Alligator mississippiensis: one gene and its partner. The protein of the gene in region 1 purifies or fractionates together with the protein of each later gene. This does not show direct contact. Links are inferred from orthologs where the notes say so. Each region holds a gene or a part of one and is shown in the gene's direction. Other genes may lie near its edges. The genes, in order: REXO4 and RRS1.

Region 1 (7,418 bases):
AGGAAACTGCTTTGCACACCACCCAGCCTCCTCGAGAGAGCACTGGGTGCTCCCTACAAATGTCCGTGCAAATGTTTTCAGAAGCTTATGCTACACATGACTGGAGGGCGAGCAAGAAGCCCCTCCAGAGGCTACGCTGAACCCATGACACCACAGAGCCCTAAGATGGTGCACTGAAAACAAAGAGCAAGCTACTCACAATGTTCAGGTTGGTGAGGATATACCTCTCAGTGTCTTCTCTATGGAACTGGTACACATCTGGGCCCGCTGCAACCAGCAGCTCCAGGTGCTTGACAGTCCCTTCAGACCTTTTCCAATGGCGAGGATGAAACTTTTTTTCTATAACACAACAGAGCGAAGGGGAGTTTAGGTAGCAAGAAGACCTGGGGGCTCCTGGGGGCCCATTCCCTTCTGCTGAGCACAAGTCATTCACAAGACTGAAACCAGTGCGGGTAGGAATCTGCAAAGTGCTAGGAGGAAGCTACCCTGGGCAATTTAACATATGCAAGGTGCCCAGGGGCAGCATTAGACTGTCAGTTCCTATGTCAAGGCCAGCACGGCCAATACCTTTTGCTGTCTTTGCCCCTCTCTCTGTGGTTCTGAAGATGAGGTGGGGCTTGAAGAAGCTGAGGTCCTTCAGCAGGCTCCAGTGTTTACTTCTCACAGGCCTGATGTGAATCTTTTCTTCACTTGCAATGATGATGCCTTGCTATAGGAGACAAAGATCCAGCCCTCTGTTATTCCAATGACCTCCAATGCCAATAGCAAGTCACATACAATCTCTCTTCCCGCACTCTCTTATGTCTTATTTCTTTACTTATTTGCCAGTCTTGATATTTTCTTCTGTCTGAAAGCTGGCAACATATACTGCATTGAACTGTAAACTCTTCAAAGCAGCAATGATACATGGTAGGTCTTCTTTCAAGCACCTTCACAGTGCTGTACTAAAGAGCTGAGCGGATCCCAAATCCCAGTGCTGGACTGTAAACCTTGTGAACACTGGGAAAAGCTTGGATTTCAGCCTCTAGCTCAATCTCCCTCCTACCCAGATGAGAATCCCCTTGCAGCCAATGCGACATACTCACCAGCTGTCCTTCGCAGTAACTGACCCTACACACAGCCCCCAAAGGATGCAGTGGTTTTCCCTCTGCAAAGCAGTTGCCTGGGAACCATTTTAGCAAGCTAACAGAAGTGTTCAGCACTCGATGGCTCACAAAGGAAGGGAGAAGGAGATCAGGATCCTCTAGAAATTCAAAGGTGTAGAGCTGTCCCCATGACTGAAGGGAACAGCGTTGGACTTTACAAGCGGTCAGTCCAACCTGGTCTTCTTCACAGGCGCAAGCAGGCTGAACAACAATGAACTCAGGTACTGAAATAAAGAAAGGAAATGACCAAAAAATTACAGGAACCGTTCACAGTGACAACAGACATACAAGGGAAAAGACATGTCATCAATTTGCTTCCATGAAGAACAGCCCTCTCCGGAGAGCTTGTGACCCACCCCTTAAATAATGTCACCAGCCAGAGTCTTTTGTGTTTCTATCTACCCCAAAATTAAGGACGATCATGTTGCTGAAGCATAGACTTGCAGTCACCGGGGAGGTCTCAAGTCTATATTCAGCTTTAAAAGTGATTGCTTGTACTCGAGATTTGTAACCATGCCTTTGTTTCCCCATCTTCTGTAAAACTGGGATAACAGTTTATTTGACAAGGGTCACAATGTTTTTGAGTTTATCAGCTGTCAGGCATTACTTAAGAGTAAATCATCACCATTTAAATACTAACAGCATGCTGGGTACTGGGCAAACAGAGAGAGAGACACAATGTCCCTACCCTTGGAATCCAACAAGCTAAATTCCTTAGTCTTGAATTATCAGCCTAATCTCAAAATATTACTCTAGTCTCCAAAATGTTTCTAAATAAATACAACCATCCTCAGTCCATACACTTGGACCTAGATGATTTGGATCTGTCCCTAGGGTTATCTATAGTCTATAACTCTACCAGTTTTGCATTAAAACAATAAGTTAGCATAAAGCAGAGTTAAATGGAATAATCAAAAGGAATTTCTGACCCATTTTACAGACTACTGAATAAGAGACCCGATTCTTTAGACATTTACACATTAGAGCCAGAACTGCATACATGAGTAAGGTCATTCACACTGAAAGTATCATAAGATCTAGGTTAATGTTAATACAAGGCTCTTCAAATATGCCATATTAGAAACAATTTTAAACATACAATACAATCCAGAATTAAGATAGAAGTAGGCCTGCATACCATCAAGAACTGACTTGGTGCCAAAATAAGAAAAAACATCTTCTGGATCCAAAGCCCTGAGAAATTTCTGCAAAAAGAAAAAAAAATCTTTGCCTTTTCAAGGAAAAAAAATCCATGTAGACACATGACTTTAATTTATCAAAACCTAATTATTAACTTAGATGTTTTACATTTTGATTCAGCTTTTTTGCACTAAGCCTATGGAACACACAGATCATCCAGAGGAAATGATTAGTGAGGTTTCATAGCTTTGGTTTGAACATACATTATGTTATTTTGGGGGGAGGTGGGCAGGGGGGAAGGAGTCACACTTACCTCTTGGAAAGGAGATAGCCAGCCGAAGCCCAAGGGGAACATAGTAAAAGCTAAGATCATAAAGCGGGTGCTCATTGTGGAAGAGCTCACGCTGACACCGCAGAGCAAATACTGGCCTTAGGTTTAGCCTGAGGCATCACATGGAACGGAAGTTAGGAATACACAGAGTTTAAACAAATACAAGAGCTGATCCTCTCCAGGGAGGAGCTGCCAAGGGGATTATTCAGCTGCTGTGAGGCTTTGCAGGAACAGCTGGAGAGAGACAGACAGCTTTTGCGCAATGTTTGCAATTTTACTACAGCCAAAGAGCACGGTAAGACTAGGAAACCCAGGGCCAGTTTTAACAGCCAAGTAAACAAGTAAAGAAGCAACACAGGAAAAGAAAAGCAGCTTTGGAGCATCAAATCTGGGGAAGAGGATCCTTTCCAGCTCCTAAGGGCCAGATCAGCAGCACCCACCCAGATAAAATTTTCACTTACCCCTATTCTAGAGGGAGAGCAAAACACAACTTCGCCGAGTTTGCAAGAGCTGCGCTTAAGGCTCAGTTAACTGATTTAGTACGCGCTCAATTCCCAGCAATTAAAAATAACACGTCAGCCAGACTTTTGTGCTGACTGCAAATGTTACTGTGTGTGTGGATCCACTGGTAAAAATGAACAACTTTGGATGAAGATATAAAAGTGGCAGTGTCTCAGGATGTGCTGAGAGAGGTAGTCCACCACGTTAGCTCGAAGTCAGTCACACGGCAGGGTAAGATATGCACTTTTATAGACTACGTCATTAGAGACAGAGAGCGCACAAGGTTTTGCGAAGCCAAGTTCACTTCGTCAGTGCTGGTCTCATCGGGCATTCAAAACGACCACGAGTCGTCGCCGGCAGCACCGTGGGCTCTACCCTGAGTTTCTAGACTTCTTACTACCCCAGACTTGAGATAGAAATCCGAGGAAACACCCGAGATGTGTCCTCAGTCGGATCGCTAACGTTTTGTGCGTAGCGGCGTACGCTCAGAAATGAACCGGACACGTGAAGAGCAGTCAGCGTTGGCTGGCACAGACCCTAGCTTGCAGCTTTGCGCACCTGCGGCAACTGCCGAGGAGCAGGAAGGAGCACCCAAGCAGCCAGCCGCCTGCCCGCCGCCGGCAAGCGCTCACAAGGCCACAGTTAGGGAGCCACTGGGGAAAACGCTACTGGACTGCCCCACTTCACAATCACACAGCTGCGGCCTCCCACGTCTGGTGGCCTATTGGGGCCTGCACTGACTCGCCCACCTGCCCAGTGTGCTCCTAACTTGGCCCCAATGCAGCCCCCTCCTATAAAATGCAGCCCCAATGCAGCCCTTGCAGCCTCCTCCATCCCCAATGCACCCCTTTCCTGCAAAAATGCAGCCCCTTGCATCCTGCCCCAACACAGCCCCTTGCACTACAACCCCTGCTGCCCCTCCCCCACCCAGCCCCTCCCCGCCCTCAGAGCCACACGGCGCATGCGCGAGAGCCGGAACGGAAGTTGCCGGGGGCCGTTTCCGGCCGGGGGACTATCGGGGCCGGTTTCCGGGCGGGGCAGCGTCGCGTGCTGTCCTCCTCCCGCTGCTTCCGGCCGCGCGGGGCCATGGCGGGCCGGGCCGAGGCCGGGGCGCCGCCGAGGCGGGCCCGGCGGCGGTGGTTCCGGCCGAGGGCGCGGGACGCGGCGGGAGCTCCGAGGCCGGCGCTGGCGCTGGCGCTGGCGCTGCCCCCGAGGGCGGCGCGGGACTTCTCCGCCAACTGGCGGGCGCTGCAGGAGGTGCGGGGCTGGGCCTGGCTCCCTCCTGCTGTGAGACCGAGCGAGCGTCGGAAAAACCACGGACTTTTACATTCAAATGAGTTTTAACCCAAGATCTTGTTATTTCATTTATCTGTTATTTATTTATCTCGTAATTCACATCAGTTTTAAACCAGAAACTTTTTTAATTCTAACTAGTTTTTAAGCTAAGAACTAGTTAACTTCAAAAACCGTCAGCGGGGCTTGGTGGATTTCAGGTGGGAGGACGACGGTAAAGTCGAACGCTCCGGTTAATTGTTGGGTGTTTCTTTAGGTGCTGAAACAGAAGGCGGCTGGCTTGGCGAAATCCCTCCCGGCCCCCGAAACGTCTCCCAAGCCGCGGCGCGCGACGAAAGACGTCGAAGGGATTCCAGCCGTCAATGGCAGCGGGAACACGGTAAAATTCAAGCCTGTAAACCGGACGGAGGGTGGTCCTGGCCAAGCGGGAGCTTCTCCGACGAATGTGAAATCGGAGAGAACTGCGCCGGGCGAGAGCCTGGGCGATGCCCGGAGCAACAGAAAAGAGTTCAAGGCAAAAAGGAAAACCGGCAATAGCGAGACGAAGCAGGGGGACATAAAGCATAAGAAGAGGAAAACGGACGAGCGCGCAGAACAGCCGCCAACGGAGTGAGTGCTTTAAACCTTATGCCCATTTATGTCGGTGCTTTAAACTGTTTTAGTGGCAGCTGAATAACTTGAAATAAAGGATAATACAATGCTGTGCTTCTTGAGGAGGGAAAACCTAATACAATGCTAATACAATGCTGTGCTTCTTAAGGAGGGGAAACCCTCTTTCCTTTATGATGCGTCCACCCAAGTATTTCAGACCCCTTTCCTACTACCAAGTTACTGCATTCTCTTCCTTTCCCTTCCCATTCAGGTAGGGGGGGGTTACAGTTCAAACAACTATTTTGGGGACTTTTTGACTTCAGATTCAGAATTTAGACATTAGACTGCGGAGGCACAGCTCAGGAGGCTCGACTGGATAACAGGAACGGGAAGAAGTCCAAAGACAAGGTATCCCTGAGGAGCCTGGGATAAGAGAGAAGTAAAAACCACTCTGATTAACCCAGTTATTCAAATGTTTGAACAAAACTGTAGTCTGCATGCTCAGGTTGTTGAACTAGTTGGCTCTGACTAGGACTAACTAGGTAACTCCTTTCTTTTGTAAACATCAAGCTTACCCAAACTGTAAACAGCCAAATCGAACAGTATTAAAAAGGTCCTTTTTACCTTTTGCTTACCAGGGATGACATCTGGTTTGATGGGGTTGATCCAGAGGATATTGAAGCAGCAATAGGACCTGAAGCAGCAGAAGTTGCTAGAAGAAAAATGGGACTTGAAAGCACGTCCAAACCAACTGTGGAACAGGTGCTGGTTAAAGAAAAGGCTTTCAGTGGGTAGGTTGTATTTCTAATGCAACAAGTACCAACAGTCTTATCGGAGGCATCAAAAACTTACTCCCATTCTTACAGCTGTGGACAGAGTATGCACAGTGTCTTCCAGAGTCTGCAGAGACTATAGCTGCTCTGTGGTGTTAACTTTTCCGGTTATATTAACGGGTGCCGCACCTGTCAGCGTAGCAGTCAGAAGTACGCAATCTCAGCAAGGGCTTTCTAATCTGCGTGTCCGTTTTCTTCTTTTAGACTCACAAAAGCTGTAGCCATGGACTGTGAAATGATAGGAGTGGGGCCCCAGGGGGAAGACAGCATTGTGGCTCGTGTATCAATCGTGAACCAGTTTGGAAAGTGCGTTTATGACAAATATGTCAAGCCTACAGAAAAGGTGACCGATTACAGGACAGAAGTTAGCGGGATACGGCCTGAGGACACAAAGAAGGGTAAGTAGGTTGGCCTTCCCCAGAACATCCTTAAGAAAAACCTTATGCAACTTACTGAGTTACTGTCAGTGTATCAGGAGCCTGCTGAATTCTATTTTTTGAGCAAGAAATAAAGCACTTGCACAACCTTAATATCTCTAAATATAAAAGAATACTTCAGGGGAGAATGAATAAAAAATTCTGTAAAGATGCAATTTGCCCCAAAAGGCCATTGTTGCCCCAGTAAAAAAAGTAGTTTCTAACACTTGCTTAAATGCAAGCCTAGCATTGGACCAACAAGTGGAAGTTGACTGTTTCAGCTTTTTTGCAAGGCATCTGTCCTGGTCTCCTGTTTTTGCTTCCTCTGAACAAGCAGGGGATGACAAAGTACAAGAATCATGCATTCTTCTGCATCTTGGGTCCTAAGAAAGTGACTTCCACACATGATGGTCTTCTAATGCTCACTCAACTTGCTAAGTTGCTGTGTAATGTCCATGTTGAAACCATTTTTTTATGTTGCATTTTCAGGAGAAGACTTTAAAAAAATTCAGGAGGAGGTGGCTGACATCTTGAGAGGAAGGATTTTAGTTGGACATGCTGTCCACAATGACTTAAAGGTACACATCTCCATAGTTGTTGCTTTGAAGGTAAAACTTCAGTGATTTTTGTTACCCAAGAAAACAGATTAGAAATTTTTAAGCTTAAGGTTGCAGTATCTTAATACCCAGATTCCACCTGTGCTGGACACCATATTGTATAGCAGTCCAATTTGTACAGGTAACAAAGCAGGTGTTCAATATTTCCTTCTAGTCTAGAAACAAACAGCAGGTTGATCAAATTATTTTCATATTTGGGAGTAGCTGTAGCACTGCCTGCAAAGAGCTGCAGTAAGGCAAGGCCCACAGCGTCTTTAATTCAGAGACTAGCGTTCCACTTTGCTCAAGCAGGAGCAATGTGCACAACCGCCTTGTATAGTCTCCATAGGAAGCGCGTCTGTATTGAAGATGGCCACCATCTTTGCCAGGTTATGCATCCCCTGTTTGAATATTCTCGATCAGAATTGCTCCCATTGTGAATTGTCTTTTCTGCCGATGGAAGGACGACCAGCTGCAATGCAGTTGAACATACAAAGTAACCTATTTACAGAGCAAATATTTTTCTTTCAGATCCTGTTTCTTGACCATCCTAAGAAGAAAATTCGAGACAC
Region 2 (7,245 bases), on another chromosome or scaffold:
TTTTACTTCAAAGAGTACTAAATTAAAATTATGTATCAGTAAAAAGGAATAATTTGAAGAAAGTGCAAGTATTTTAAGGGCCCCTTTTCATCTATTTTACAAAATTACTGGCACATTGAGTTTTCCTGACAACAGTATTCATATAGTTAACTATTCTCACAGCAGTCTTAAGAACTGGTTGAATCATCTTGCAACTATATCTACTGCCATCCAGAGGTAATTGGCAAAAGTTTGGAGAGTAAATCTGTCACTAGAAGAGAGAACATGAATATTATGTATTAACGCAAGAAAAACCCCACAGCATAAAACCGTAAAGTTGTTATCCAGTCCAAGAAAAGCAAAAAAAAAAATATTAAGCTGAATAATCCATTTCTTTTCTTTTTCTTTGAGACAGAAAAAAAAGAAACAGGGTTTTTTTTGCTGTCTTAATCTTGTAGCTCATCTGGAGCCCAGCAAGGAGCTGAATACCTCTTCAGAGATGCAAAGCATCCTTAATTCCCTTTGAAACTATGGCAGCTGCTCAGCAACTTAAAAGATCATGTCCATACTGAACCAGCCTTTCAAGTGAAGTCCCTAAAACAGGATGACTTATTTTTCATTGGTATGTGCATTTCAACATAAAGATTCCCACATAGGTTAAGAATTTCCACATTGGTGCCTAAAGCCAAAAAATAAATTTTGGGATTAAATTAGGCTAGGGCTTATAAAGGGACATAAGAGGTGTACAACTACAATTAACTTTCTGTAGAGTTGGGTACCTAGGAGACCTCTGCAATATATTAGCATAACAAGGTGTGTTTTAAAACTAGTATGATACTTTTCATTTCTACGGCACTCACCTCTATGTATCTATTTTAGGGTTTTGTATTAAGGCTGGAGATCATAGTAGCGAGCTGAAAAAAAAAGATGTATACAGTAGAATCTCCATAGTATCTAAGTACTATCTGAATGTCCCAGAACAATTAAAACAGTAATGAAACTCAACAAGCACCTGTGAAGTAATTATTATTATCCACATTACAGAGATTGAGAAACTAAAGCACAGAGAGATTAAAACCAAATATCTGGTCCAAAGTTAAGGCCCAAGTTTTTGTTCATTAATTCTAAGTACCACCAGCTCATCCTTAGACACTGGTCCTTATTGTACAAGAGCTGAGCACTCTCAAATCTGGCTACAGTCAGTGGGAGCTCTGGGTGCTTATATCTATAAAAAGTATACTCTAGGTTTAAAAAACTCGGCACCCAAAAGATGAGGCAACTAAAATTAGCAGGCACATTTGAAATTCTGACCCCATATAATCTGCCTAAAAGTCCATACGTTTGTCAGAAAAACTGGAACTAAGGTTAGAACTCATATTCCTATCCTTCAACCCCAAGGTTATCCTTTCCTTTTTTTTAATAGGTTAAACATGCCCCTTGGAAGTGCATGGGTTCCTATTCACTTTAAAGGGAATCACGCACGGGCTTTTCTTTGTTTTCTGTTGTGACCCAAATGATTTCTGCTTTCAAATTCTGTTTGGTTTACAAATCTAGTCAATTATCCTTCCAGCTGCCATCACTGCACACACATCCTGATATCACAAAGTCACACTTTGTCCTGTCTGAATCATACATCAACACTAACAATCAGCAGCAATAAAGATTCTAGAGTTAATAACTGCAATTTTGCTGATGATACTTGAAGCAGAGTAGAATAAAGCTTGTTCTCTTCAGTTACATTACATGGGTTCTTCAATGCTAAATGTACTAAAGTTTGATTCTGACAGTAAAATAAGTAGATATAGCTAGCTCCCACACACATGGAACAGGTGTGTAAGAAATCACTGAGCAGTACATCCCAGGGTGAAATTCTGACTCCATGGAAGTCTACAGCAAAACTTACATTGTCTTCAATCAGCCCAGGATTTCACCCAACGCCTTTAAAACATTGACTGCTGCAAATATTGCAGCAGCTCTTTCAGAGCCATTCTGTAAATGCATCTTCAGATAATTTAAAAAATGCATATCACCATCAAACCATGGGTTATTTATTCAATAGACAGTTACAACACACTCTCAAAGCTATTTGTGCTACCACTTCAAAGTGCCATATAATTTTCAGGGTGTGATTTCTGTAAGCAGGAAAAACCCTTGTTAAAATGTCTACAAGTTGCCACAAGTAGTCTTGGTGTTTTACTGTATAATCATGTATAATCATGCTTATAAACACACAGGACCAGTTCCTTGGCTTTAGCTACAAAGCACACAATATAAATCATAGGGCAGATAAAAACAATTATACCAGATAAATTGCTAACCAAAAGAGTTGCCAAAACTGGAGTTACTGTCTTCAGGATCTCCTTTTATTTCTGCTTTTTTCAAATTGATGTATTGTTAGCATGTAAAATCACAAGTGGTATTCACTAGCACACTCTCAGAGCTCTGTGCTGTTGGGCTGTCTAGGGATACAAAGCATCCATATGCTTTGTTAAGACGAGTATATAGCTCCTTGTGCTGTTGGTGCAGCCTAAGACAGAAAGAGTATGCAACTGAAATAGGACCAATATTTACTACTTTACCAGATCAATATAACAGAAAATACCCAGGCTGAACTATAGACAGATAACTCATTGGGCTAGACTCAGAAAAATACAGAACAAAAAGACAATCCCAGCCCTGCAAAAAATTGCAGTCTATGACAAGAGATGGACTAGATGGCCTCCCGAGGTCCCTTCCAATCCCTAACTCTCTATCAATATAGAGTTTAGGAAAATAATGAAAAAATATTCATGAGAATGTGATAGCAATGGAATTTACTTATGCAGCACAAAAGTCTAAAAAATTCTCATGTGTCTCTAAAATAATGGTCTCAAGTCCCGTCTTGTAAAAGATTAGCAGAACTGTCTTTAAAGTCACTGGTATCTGTAATTCTAGATGATCACATCAGTTGTCCAAGAGAGTGAACTAAATAATTTCTAATATGCTACCATCTTGTGGTAACTGAGAAAATAATCTAGCCAGGTTGATCTGTTTTTAAATGCTTTGGCAATTTCTTATGCTATATTATGAGTCACCATCAGATGGTATATGTTGTTTGTTTTGTTTTAAAAGAACACCCCATCATAACTACAGATGTTATAATGATGGAGGTATTATGCCAAATAGTTTTATGCGGGAGATGTGAAACACTACATCTTAGAACTTGAGAGCCACTGTTTGATTTATAAGCGGGAAAAGAAATTGCCTAAGAACAACATAAACATTATAGATGCGACATTAGACAGAATCTTTTCCTCTGTGAAATGAGAATGATTTCTTCCCTTTCTCAAAACATTATGAAAGGCCAGTACATTTAATCATACTAACAACCTGGTGCCCACAGTCGTCCTCATCACATATACCAGGTCTAAGCTGCCAAGCTCTGTGGTGATGAGTTCTACAACTTAAATTACATGCTGTGTTACAAAAATATTTCCTTCTTATCAGTTTTAACTGTGTTGCTTTTGAATGGCATTAGACATCTTTCGATATCATGGGGGAGAGAGGTAACTACACGAATAGTCCGTGTATTTTCCCAGTAGAATTCACTGACATGTCTCCTAACACGTATCACCTCTTTTAATTGAAGTCTTAATCTTCGGGGGGGGGGGGAGGGAGAAGAAGGGAGAAGTGGAAGGGGAAGGGGGTTGTTTTGGGCTTTTTCATGACCACAGAAGTCCCTCAGTTTGCAGATAATCTCTACCACGGCTCCTTGATGGGTCTTGAGATGACTTAAGAGTCTGATCCTACAGCCACAAACCCATTCACGGAAGTTGCAGGTCTTTCTTCAGGGTACGGAAAGCCCTAGGCCAAGATGTCTCTCCTTTTCCTGCCCCGCCTTCACACATCTGGCATAATTTTTCCCGCCCAGCTCCTATTTCTGCTGTAGCTTCCCTGGGACTTAAGGATTACAAAGGTAGCATAGAAGCCTCCCCTCACCACCACCACCTTGCATTGCAGTGGCAGCGGAAGTGGTAGTGCGCAGGCTCTGCTGCCCCATCCCCTGCTCACTGGTGCAGGAGCAGGACCCCGAGATGGACCAGAGGGACAAACCTGAGCTGTCCCAGCCTCAACAGCCGCACCTGCTTGGTGAGAAAAAAAAAAATCTGAACTAAGGGGCGGTGGGCAGGGGGCCCTCAGGCAGCAGGGCCACAACAGCAGGTGCCTCAGCATTGCCAGGTGTTCAATATGAAATTATCGTATTGGGAGCTCAAAATGATTGTATTTTCTGAAAAACTATCATACACTGAAAAATAATGAAATAAGTATGCAAATAACTCTTCTTCTTTTTTACTTACTATTGCTCACTGTTAAACTGCTGTGAGTGAGAGAGACCTGGATCATCAAAGTTGAAACATTTCTTTTTTTCAAGGCAAACAGCCAGAAGAGAGTGTCGACAGCAGCCCCGACTCAGCTAAGACTTCCTGAGCATGACTTGGTGCATATGCTGCATCAATTAGTTGCCTCAATAATCGTCCTACATTTTGAACACTTTTACTATTACTGATTGTACACTGCACAAGGGCTGAAATGATTGTACAAAACCGATCATTATCGTACGCCTGGTAACACTGGGGTGCTTCTGCTATACAGGGCCTGGCGCCCAACGCTGGGGGCGGTGAGGAGGGCGCTGCTACAAGGGGTGCCGCAGTACCGCGGGGAGGGGGAAGGAACTACGAACCCCAGCATGCAACGCGCCGCCCGCCCCCCTGCCGCCGGGCTCCGCGCGGGGCATTCTGGGCAATGCAGTCCCGCGCTGCTTACACTCATCCGGTGCCTTGACCCGGAAGCGGCCCTTTCCCGGCCACTCGCACGTGGAGCCATGGCGGCCCCGCGCGCGGAGGAGCTGCTGGCGGGCGTGGAGCCGGCGGCCCTGCCGGCGCGGAGCCTGGTGGTGCACAAGGAGCTGGAGCTGGACTTCGACCTGGGCAACCTGCTGGCGCGGGACGGCAACCCGCCACCCCGCGCCGCCGCCGCCGCCCAGCGGGAGGCCGCACTGCGGGCGCTGGCGCGGGACAACGCGCAGCTGCTGGCGGCCGAGCTGTGGGCGCTGCCGGCGCGGCGGCCCGAGGGGGAGGCGGCGGGGCCTCTGCTGGCCGAGCTGCCGCCGCCCGCCACCCGCCTGCCCCGCGAGAAGCCGCCGCCGCGCCCGCGGCCGCCCACGCGCTGGGAGCGCTTCGCGCAACTCAAGGGCATCCGACGGCGTAAGCGGCCCTCGCTTGTGTGGGACGCGGCGGCCGGCGATTGGCGGCGGCGCTGGGGCTACGGGCGGGCGGGCGGCGACCCGGCGCGGGCGTGGCTGGCCGAGGTGCCGCCCGGGGCTGACCCGCTCCAGGACCAGCTGGGACGGCAGCGGCGGGAGAAGCGCGAGCGCGTGGCGCGCAACGAGTTCAGCCGCCTGCGCAACCTGGCACGTGCCAGCAGCTTCCACCCCACTGGCCACCAGGGCCGCCAGGAGCTGGGCCGTGCCGCCTGCCTGGCCCGTGCCTCCACCGCCTCGCTCGGCCGCTTCCAGCCGCGCCTGCCCCGGGAGTCGCCTCTGCCCCTGCCACGCAGCGCTGGCAGCGGCAAGAAGAAGCGGCGCTTCGCACCTCTGCTGGGGGACCTGGCGGCCGAGCGCGGGCGGCAGCTGGAGTTGGTGCGCACGCTGGCCAAGCCACCACCACTGGACGTGGCGCGCGCCACCAACAAGCAGCTGCGCCAGGAGGACGCCGAGGTGGCATCAACGAGTCGCGCCAAGGGCCGCAAGCGCAGCGAGCGTGGAAAACGGGCACGAGGGCGGGGCACCCCCCAGCAGCGCCGCCGGGGGCAGCAGAAGCAGCAGCGCCCGGCTGGGGGCAAGAGGAGGAAGCGCTGAGCATGGCCTGGGCCCTGCCTGGGATTCCCCCCCACCCTCGTGTGTCTGGGGGAGGGCAATCTCTCCCAGCCCAGAGTGGAGCTGGGGTACCCCCCAAGAGACAGGGCACAGGCCTGAGCCAGAAGGACTTGCTCCCCATTTATATGACAGGACCCCATTCTCGTTTGTCTTCTTGTGGCTGCGCTCAGAGGCTGGAGATGCTTTAGCAGGACTGACTGGTTACAAACAGCACAATAGACATGGGCATTTGCTTTTGAGAGGGTTTCTGGGACTGCGTTGTGGAAGGACTTAAAGAGGGTTGTTCCATGTGTTAAATGAGCCATTGAAAGTCAGCGGCTGTTTCCAAGCTTACTTTTTTGCTAAGCAGCCTAAGTATGTTCCTCCAACTCTGTCACCCCTTCATCTTTTCTCCAAGCTATCCCAGATGGGTTTGGTTTATTTTGTGTTCTGCCCTCTATTAAAATTGTAAGAGCTATAAAAATACTGCAGGTCCAAAGTGTCTCTTTCTCATGGCCTAGAAAAGCAGAGATGGGTCTGAACAAGAAAAAGTTCACTGTGTGTATGCAATTCCTTTCTGTGCTGCTGAAATGTAGACCAAAGGTTGTGAGGAATCACTTTCTAGAATTGCTCCCTACTGTGAGAAGGATGTTGCAATAAATGAAGATTTTGTGGTTTGGGGTTTGTTTTTTTTAAATGAGGTGAGTAAAGTTCTGGCTTATTTAATTGAATTGACTACGTGCATTGGGGAGAGTTAACATGTCTCAGAACATTAATACTGTACTAACTGGTATTATCTAACTAAAAATGTGGCACAATTAACATTTAAGATTGGGTAGATAAAACAGCAACTTGGAACAGTCAGAAGTTGCTGTTAGAAGGGAAGATGACTGGTACTAGAGCAGGGCTGGGCAATTATTTCGGGTGGAGGGCCGCTTACCCAGTTTTGGCAAGCCGTTGAAGGCCGCAGGGGTAGTCCCACCCCTTGACAGGTGCCCTGCCCCCTGGTCACCATCTTGGGACCAATGTCTCAGGGCCACTACAGGCAGGGAGCAGGCTGGTAGAGGTCTGTGGAGCTGGGCTGGGCTGCACCGACAGGGAGAGGGGGGAGCTGGCCCTGCTCCATAGAGCCCCTGCCAGCCAGGACCCTATACTCCTGCTGCCCTGGTGTAGGCCCCCTGCTCCCTCTGGCTCTTGCACCCTCTCACTCCCAGTGCCCAACTCAGCCCTGTGGTACAGGCAGGGGGTAGCGCACAGCCCCGACCTGGCGCTTGCTGGCAGGGAACAAGCTGGTGCTGAGCATGGAGGAAAAAGGGCCCTGCCCCATGGAGTACATTCCCTGCTGCAAGTGGCTGCAGCCCAGGGCACCAACC

What was found.
Region 2: the proteins of REXO4 (region 1) and RRS1 purify together in Homo sapiens (co-immunoprecipitation; 3 studies listed by BioGRID and IntAct, with this or other methods). This does not show direct contact. The link is inferred for Alligator mississippiensis from reciprocal best matches to the Homo sapiens genes REXO4 and RRS1.

The regions. Positions count from the first base shown.
Region 1 is NC_081835.1:60,923,617-60,931,034, reverse strand, and holds the start of REXO4 (RNA exonuclease 4), read left to right. Parts: upstream 1-4,188; 5' UTR 4,189-4,203; coding exon 4,204-4,374; intron 4,375-4,666; coding exon 4,667-5,019; intron 5,020-5,639; coding exon 5,640-5,792; intron 5,793-6,038; coding exon 6,039-6,232; intron 6,233-6,739; coding exon 6,740-6,828; intron 6,829-7,377; coding exon 7,378-7,418. Other genes in the region: ADAMTS13 (A disintegrin and metalloproteinase with thrombospondin motifs 13), read right to left, coding at 200-339, 568-709, 1,086-1,369, 2,284-2,350, 2,599-2,673.
Region 2 is NC_081826.1:64,239,030-64,246,274, reverse strand, and holds RRS1 (ribosome biogenesis regulatory protein homolog), read left to right. Parts: upstream 1-4,778; 5' UTR 4,779-4,840; coding exon 4,841-5,875; 3' UTR 5,876-6,549; downstream 6,550-7,245. UniProt on the Homo sapiens protein: Involved in ribosomal large subunit assembly. May regulate the localization of the 5S RNP/5S ribonucleoprotein particle to the nucleolus.